2 linked regions of the Oryzias latipes genome follow. The protein of the gene in region 2 binds, or shares a complex with, the protein of the main gene of each other region. Links are inferred from orthologs where the notes say so. Each region holds a gene or a part of one and is shown on either strand. Other genes may lie near its edges. The genes, in order: tubulin alpha-1B chain and kiaa0895l.

Evidence for each region.
Region 1: the proteins of kiaa0895l (region 2) and tubulin alpha-1B chain are in contact, whole or in part, in a cryo-EM structure (PDB 7Z6S), measured with the Homo sapiens proteins. The link is inferred for Oryzias latipes from reciprocal best matches to the Homo sapiens genes MATCAP1 and TUBA1B. Residues at the interface, in NP_001035805.1 of Homo sapiens: Lys219, Cys220, Trp223, Val226, Arg227, Gly237, Glu238, Val239, Val240, Val241, Gln242, Leu243, Met253, Met254, Val255, Glu256, Asn257, Ser258, Arg259, Pro260, Thr261; in NP_006073.2 of Homo sapiens: Asp345, Trp346, Arg422, Glu423, Ala426, Ala427, Glu429, Lys430, Asp431, Glu433, Glu434, Val435, Gly436, Val437, Asp438, Ser439, Val440, Glu441.

What each region holds. Positions count from the first base shown.
Region 1 is NC_019865.2:25,869,642-25,874,238, forward strand, and holds tubulin alpha-1B chain, read right to left. Parts: upstream 3,105-4,597; 5' UTR 2,939-3,104; coding exon 2,936-2,938; intron 2,088-2,935; coding exon 1,865-2,087; intron 1,784-1,864; coding exon 1,635-1,783; intron 1,549-1,634; coding exon 568-1,548; 3' UTR 355-567; downstream 1-354. UniProt on the Homo sapiens protein: Tubulin is the major constituent of microtubules, protein filaments consisting of alpha- and beta-tubulin heterodimers. Microtubules grow by the addition of GTP-tubulin dimers to the microtubule end, where a stabilizing cap forms.
Region 2 is NC_019861.2:3,745,911-3,748,953, reverse strand, and holds the end of kiaa0895l (uncharacterized protein KIAA0895-like homolog), read right to left. Parts: intron 2,743-3,043; coding exon 2,645-2,742; intron 2,447-2,644; coding exon 2,285-2,446; 3' UTR 714-2,284; downstream 1-713. UniProt on the Homo sapiens protein: Tyrosine carboxypeptidase that removes the C-terminal tyrosine residue of alpha-tubulin, thereby regulating microtubule dynamics and function. Also able to remove the C-terminal phenylalanine residue of alpha-tubulin TUBA8.

The sequences.
Region 1 (4,597 bases), on a different chromosome or scaffold from region 2:
CAGAAATAAAATCAGTTAATTTCCCAGCAGAACACATTTTTAACTGAGAAACTCTGATAGAATGCAGCACTAAGTCTTTAAATCTGAAAATCTACCAAAAAAAACAAATGTTTCAAATACTAGAAAAACTGCATTTCCTGCAGAATCTCATGTGACAGTTCAAGGTGCCTTCTTGGGGCGTGTTTAGGTTGGAGATGAAAATTAAACATGTTTAAGAACTAGTCTAATTTACCTGAAGAGTTTAAAAGCTTTACATAATAAAAAAAACAGTGGAAGCTAAAATGCTAAAACTGCATTTTTTTTGGTAAAAGAAATAAGAATTAATTGCAAAAAGACATGAAAGACAATGAGGCCTTTTTCTGATGGAGAAACCGATTTTATTGTAGTTTTATATTACCTCCATGTACAATTTAATGCATGACACATGTCAGATTTTATTCATATCAAACCGAATCTTGACATTTTCAGGAGGTTTCATTGAACATCTTAACATTTTCTAGAACAACAAACATCTTTTTGGAATGCTTGAGCCATTTCCTTCCTCTGTAACTGATTCCTCCTCCTTGTTTAATACTCTTCTCCTTCCTCCTCTCCTTCACCTTCAATGGAGTCGACTCCAACCTCCTCATAATCCTTCTCCAGAGCCGCCATGTCCTCTCTGGCCTCAGAGAACTCTCCCTCCTCCATACCCTCACCCACATACCAGTGAACAAAGGCGCGCTTGGCGTACATCAGGTCAAACTTGTGGTCCAGCCGAGCCCAGGCCTCTGCAATAGCAGTGGTGTTGCTCAGCATGCACACCGCCCTCTGGACCTTGGCCAGGTCTCCACCAGGAACTACAGTGGGCGGCTGGTAGTTGATGCCAACCTTGAAGCCAGTGGGACACCAGTCCACAAACTGGATGGAGCGTTTTGTTTTGATGGTGGCGATGGCTGCATTCACATCTTTGGGCACCACGTCACCACGATACAGAAGACAGCAAGCCATGTACTTTCCGTGGCGGGGGTCACACTTCACCATCTGATTGGCCGGCTCAAAGCAGGCATTGGTGATCTCAGCCACTGAAAGCTGCTCATGGTAAGCTTTCTCTGCAGAGATGACGGGGGCGTAGGTGGCCAGAGGGAAGTGGATACGTGGATATGGCACCAGGTTGGTCTGGAACTCTGTCAGATCAACATTGAGGGCACCATCAAAGCGCAGAGAGGCAGTGATGGAGGACACGATCTGGCTGATCAGCCTGTTCAGGTTGGTGTAGGTGGGACGCTCGATGTCCAGGTTCCTGCGGCAGATGTCGTAGATGGCCTCATTGTCCACCATGAAGGCACAGTCAGAGTGCTCCAGGGTGGTGTGGGTGGTCAGGATGGCGTTGTAGGGCTCCACCACAGCAGTGGACACCTGAGGAGCTGGGTAGATGGAGAACTCCAGCTTGGACTTCTTGCCATAGTCCACAGACAGACGCTCCATCAGCAGAGAGGTGAAACCAGAGCCAGTGCCTCCACCAAAGCTGTGGAACACCAGGAAGCCCTGAAGACCAGTGCACTGATCCGCCTGAAGACACACAAGAAAACAAATGCCAGATACTGTTATTGCACCACTACGAGACAAACACAAACACATGCTCTGATTGTACCCACCAGTTTCCGGATCCTGTCCAGAACCAGGTCGATGATTTCTTTACCGATGGTGTAGTGTCCACGGGCGTAGTTGTTGGCAGCATCCTCCTTCCCGGTGATCAGCTGCTCAGGGTGGAACAGCTGCCTGTAGGTCCCAGTGCGCACCTCATCTGACGACACGACAAATCCCTTTAGTTTTCACAAACTCCAGCACCTTCATCAGAACATGTTCATCTGGAAGAGATGCTCACCGATAACCGTGGGCTCCAGATCTACAAACACAGCTCTGGGAACGTGCTTTCCAGCTCCAGTTTCACTAAAGAAGGTGTTGAATGAGTCGTCTCCTCCTCCAATGGTTTTGTCACTGGGCATCTGGCCATCCGGCTGGATCCCATGTTCCAGACAGTAGAGTTCCCAGCAGGCATTGCCAATCTGGACTCCGGCCTGACCAACATGCACTGAAATACACTCACGCTGTGGAGGGAAAAAGGTTGGTATAGTTGTTTAAGTATAAAAATATGTTTTTGTATAATTTCAACCATTAAAATAATTGTTTACAAATTCTTAAATGCATCATCGTTTTTTTTCTTTTCAGAAGAAGATAATTTTTTTTTTGTCCAGAGAGAGGCGCACTGTCTTCCTACAAAGAACCCCGTTGCCAGGCAACAAGCCCCCGTGCAGGCGAGCCTTAAATTCATTTAAAACCGTCTTAAAATAATCCCTAGTGGGATACTATTAAGCAAAGTCTAAAGAAATGTATTTAAACTTTCAAAATAACAGTAGAGCGAGCTGTAGATACCACGTTGAAGTGGGAGAAAAACCAAAGACCCTCCAATATGTCGGTGTCTGTTACTTACAGAGTCATCCATATTTAATCAGAATAATCGCCATGATGATGGCAGCGAATTTCAGCAATTGCTACTTTCGTTATTATACGAGATGTCTTAAAGCCAGAGGGTAAGGTAAATCCTCCCATCCTCAGCTTTTCCGCTTAACAGAAACGTTTAATTAACATCCGGGCATTTCTTTGTTGCATGGGCGGGAGTGAAAATGCCGCAGTATGCGGCTCAACTGACTGCATGATGATGATGATCCTACTTTTGTTCACTGAGCCAAGAATATCTCTGCATCTTCTTACAAAATTTTATTAAAACAAAGAAACCATAAAAAGGACATAACTTGTTTGGAGAACAGACATGTTTTATATCTGGAAACTGACTGGTTTTTTTCTGGTACATTTATTATTTATTTAAAACCGGGTCAAATCCGTGTAAATAGAAACTCGACACTACATTGAAAAGAAACGTATTAAAAGATCTTACCATTTTGCTTTGTTGAAATGATCAGCTTGCAGGAATTTTCCTCGAAACTGAATCTCACGATTCGACTGTTATGTGGTCGATGTAAGAGGTAATGGCGCGGTTGATGGAGACGTTAGACGCTTACATTCGCTTGCAACGGTACTTTCTTACTATTGGTGTGTTTTTCTGTCAATCAACTTCTTGGCACAAAGAAGCGGCTTTTTCATTGGTTAAGCGTCGACGGAAAGCCCGCCCCCTGACAGAATGCTGACTTCATTTTCCCGCCCCTTAGATCATAAAGCAACATGGCGATCCTCCCATGGAGAGGAAAAGATGCGTGGACTCTGTTGGAAGAAGAGAAAAAAATGTCTGACCTTACCCTTACCTAAATCATTCTCTAAATATCCAAGCTATAGATTAGTCATTACTGTTATTCAAAACGTATTCAATTTCCAACACATTTGATTAGTCTTGTGTTATTTTCAAGTGATTTACACTATAATACCTTCAGAAGTGGAACAAAACATCTACAGCCACCAATGTTTTTGAAAAAGTACGTTACAATGCAAGTGAACACGAGAGCCTCAAGCAAAGATAAGCAATAAAAATATGTCTAGAAGTATGTTTTCTGAAAACTGGTCTATTAATACTACAAAGGACTGTATGTAAACCATTAAGACCACAGTACCATGGTCGTTTTTCTTTTTTTTTTGCCTTGCAGTAATTTTGTTTGCCTAGAACTGAGAAAAAAATGATCAAAACCACCAGAGCATTAAAGACAAAGTTCTAGCTTTCACAGGAAGTATTTGTGAGGACCAGCCTCAGCTTCACTCAGATATAGGACCATAAAATAAAAATGTAATGTTTGAAAAAAGATGGACAAAATATAGAACCTTGGGTCCATGTGCCTTAAAAATAGTCACACTCTCTTAATAAGCAGGTAAAAACAAATCCACTTTTAGCTGATCAAGACAGACAGTTGAGGTGTTTCCAAAAATCCAAGTAAAGACAGTTCTTCAGAACACAAAATGAAACTATGACTGCTGCGGGCCATAATTAAGTGTTTGGGTTTACAAAGAAAAAGGTTTTTTGTTTTTTTTGGCTTGGTAAAGTAAAAACTAAGAAAAGCTTAAAGTGACTGACCACAGACAGAAAACACATTTTAATTGTCTCAGTGTCACTCTGCTTGACCATTATGGAATTAAGTCTGGTTTAATACAACAGGTACAAATTTTTCAATTTTTTTGTGAAGCCTCACAATACTTTATTATTACATTCATTCATACATTCATTTCTAACTGTAAACTCTTGCCTTTATGTATAATTTCAAACACTGATCATCAGCGTCTCCTGATAATACTGACACTGATGTGAAAACTGTCTTGCAAAGAAATTAATCATTTAGATCAGGGGTCTGCAACCTGTGGCTCCAAAGCCACACGTGACTCTTTCACTCCTCCATGAAGGCTCTCTGGTTAAACAAAAGTACAAGTTTTTAAGTTTAAAAGTAACGATTAATTAAAAAGCATTCAAGGACAAAAAGGTAACAAAAGACAAAAATAACTATTTTATTTTTATTTATCAGGCGCCTTTCTGGACACCCAATGTCGCCTTACAACAGAAAAGAGTTGGGGGAAAAACAGAGCTCAAAAATAAAATGACTAAACTTTTCTCAATGCATTC
Region 2 (3,043 bases):
TTTTTTGGGGTAAAAATTGTTTAGATGCAATGCATTGTGGTCTATATTTGCCAATCTAGTGAGCGTGGATGCACACAGGTTTTTCTCAGAGACTTCTGGGAAATTTCCAGGGCAAAGGATTTTGGAATTGTAGATTCGGACAACAGTACAAAATGGCGAATGCTCTATGTAGTGAGTAGGGAAGGAATTCAGACACAACCAGAATGTCTTTGAATTCGGATGTTAATAGCACTTGATGATGTCATCAGTCGTCGCCGGTCATCTACGTTAGCCGCAGGTGCCAGCGCTCGAAATACAGAAGTCTTCTTATTTTAAAAAGTTACGCTAAAACACAAAAAGTCATTACTTACATGTGTGGCTCCCCCTTGAAAGAAAACATTTTGGGACACCACTTCAGCTCCAAATGCCCCTACGATTAGAGCAATGGGGAGGAGCCAGAGGGGTAGAAAATGGTTTGCTTTCAGCTCCAACCAAATAAACTCAATTCAGTCGCCATTTTTTGTTTTGCAATACGGACGCCGCCATGTTGGGAGTTGGACGTCGTCGGTGAGCAGTGATTGATCAGAAACCGAACCGTACGTTATGCAGCCTCCAACCGAATCCTCTCCAAAGTGAATGCTCCAAACATTTGTTGTGTTGTGAAATTACTGAAAGTTGTTTTGTTATTTTATTGTTACTTGCTCGTCTTGATTACTTGAAATGATCCAGAAGAGTCCAAATATGAAAGACGTTTATTTAAAAACCACTGCAAAGCTGCCATGCCCGACAATCCAGGTCAAGATTACAAAGAAAGAAGGAGCAGTGACACAGAAACATCCTCCGTTCGCCGTTCACTCATCAGAGGTTAAAGCTGCTTCGCCATTCAAACAGTGACTGATCAAAAGGCTGAAGAAGTAGATGTGAATGCTTTTTTTGGTAGAGCAGGGTCTACAGAGAACCCTGGGCCCCCGCTGGGAAGGGGGGGGCAGCATCCAATGACCATCCACTGAAACTCTGGGTTCTCTTAAGAGAACCAGCTTTTCCCAGGATCCTTCATTTGCAGTGAAGTCAGAACCTGAACCTGCAGGAGGAGCGGCGTCACACAAAACACAAAGAGAAACAAGCTCCGCCCACCACACGTGAAGTGCATACAGGAAGTGACACAGATCTGAGCATCAGTTCAATAAATAAACCATAAATTCCGTGGTTAGTACTCTGAACGGCGTCTGTCTTATAGGGATCTTCAAACGGAAGTGGAACACATGTATGTGCATGAAGTACTGTTTAAATTGAAAGTTGACCTGACCTGTGTGTGTGTGGGGGTGGGGGTGGGGGGCTGCGGTGCCCCCTCCCCTTCTGTCCGTGGTTCTGAAGCAGATCATCTTCAGTATGAAACACAGCAAAGAGCAGCAGCTGACGAGATCCACACGGCAAAGGCACGGCCCAACACCTGACCCCCCCCCCCCCCCCCCAACAGCTGCATAATGTCGGTGATGAGAGACAGGTCGGGGGGGGGGGTTCACCTTCACTTTCCAGATATTCCCCAGAAGGTCTCATATGATCAGAAGTTGAATATTTTAAAGGCAGCTGTTCAGACCTAACTGAGCATGCTCAGTAACTTCCATGTCTAGTGTGGGGTTGGGGGGGTCACTCTCAGTCAGGAGGAGGAGTTTAAGATTTTAACTGTCATTACCCCCCCCCCCCCACACACACACACACCCTTTTTCTGATAGCTACATTTTTAGACAGAGGTGGGGAGGGGGGGGGGGTCACAACTTACTACCTGAAGCTCAGGTGAGACTCGTGGACATCTGGCACTTGATATGTGAGGATTCTTTACAAACGTGTAATAAAACTTAAGTTCCAAGGCGGAGACGTCCAAATCCAGGCCCCGAGGGCCGGCATCCTGCAGCCTTCCATCGAAGCTCCTTATTGGCTAAACACACCTGTCCAGGTAATCAGCAGCAAATAAGGCAGGATTCCTGGAAAACCAGCAGGAGGTCGGCCTTCGAGGGCCTGGATTTGGGCACCCCTGTTCTAAGGCATCCAACATAAAGCTGAAACCTGAGACAATCATGAGCTCTCAGAGTGAAGCAGTGAAGCAAACTGAAGCAGTGAAGCAAACTGAAGCAGTGCACACAAAAGCGCACATGGATGGCCTTTACTGTCTGAGGTACGTGTGTGCAGCAGGACGCAGCAAACATGCAGTGAAGCGCAGACTCCTGTCCCTTCAAGTTTGACCACAAGTAGTCTCCTATAAAGCACGACCAATAGTTGGTGTCCTCCGGCTTAGGGGGGCAGAGTCTCAGGGGAGCAGCTGCTGCAGCACTGAGTCGTCCAGCTCGTTGATGGAGACGATGTGGTCCAGGTGATGAAGGTACTTTTCCGGGTCCCGCATGAAGTGAGGGATTCTGGTCCGGGAAAGATCTGCAAACGGACGGAGTCTCTCCACATCCTCGTAAGACACCTGTGCAGGTAAATATGTGAAAAACAACTGTGCAAGATCAACATACAACACCTCGGCAAGTTCAACATACAGACACCTGTGCAGGTGAATATGTGAAAAACAACTGTGCAAGATCAACATACAGACACCTGTGCAGGTGAATATGAGAAAAACACCTGTTCAGGGACAATTTACAGGTACAAGAATGTTAACACTCACCTTTCCTAGAGAGGTCAGCATTTTGAAATCGATGTTTCTTCGATGCCTCAGGATCCTCAGGATCCCATCCAGGTAAACCTGATCTTTGCTAAAGCAACCTGTGCACACGCACACACACGCACACACACACACACACACACACACGCACACACACACACACAGGCACATTTTTCTGATGATGCGGGACATAGATGAAGGAAATAAAAACAATGTATTTCTGAGTATTTCTTTATTCTAATTGTTGTCAATCAGTAGCAGTTTGAAGCAGATTGTATTTGTGACATAGCAACCACGCTGGGTGGGGCCACAAGCTCCCTCCTGTGTTCTGACGCAGAAAACTGGATCAGGGGTCTGCAACCATCAACACTCAAAGAGCCCAGAACAGCCCAGCAGGAGCCA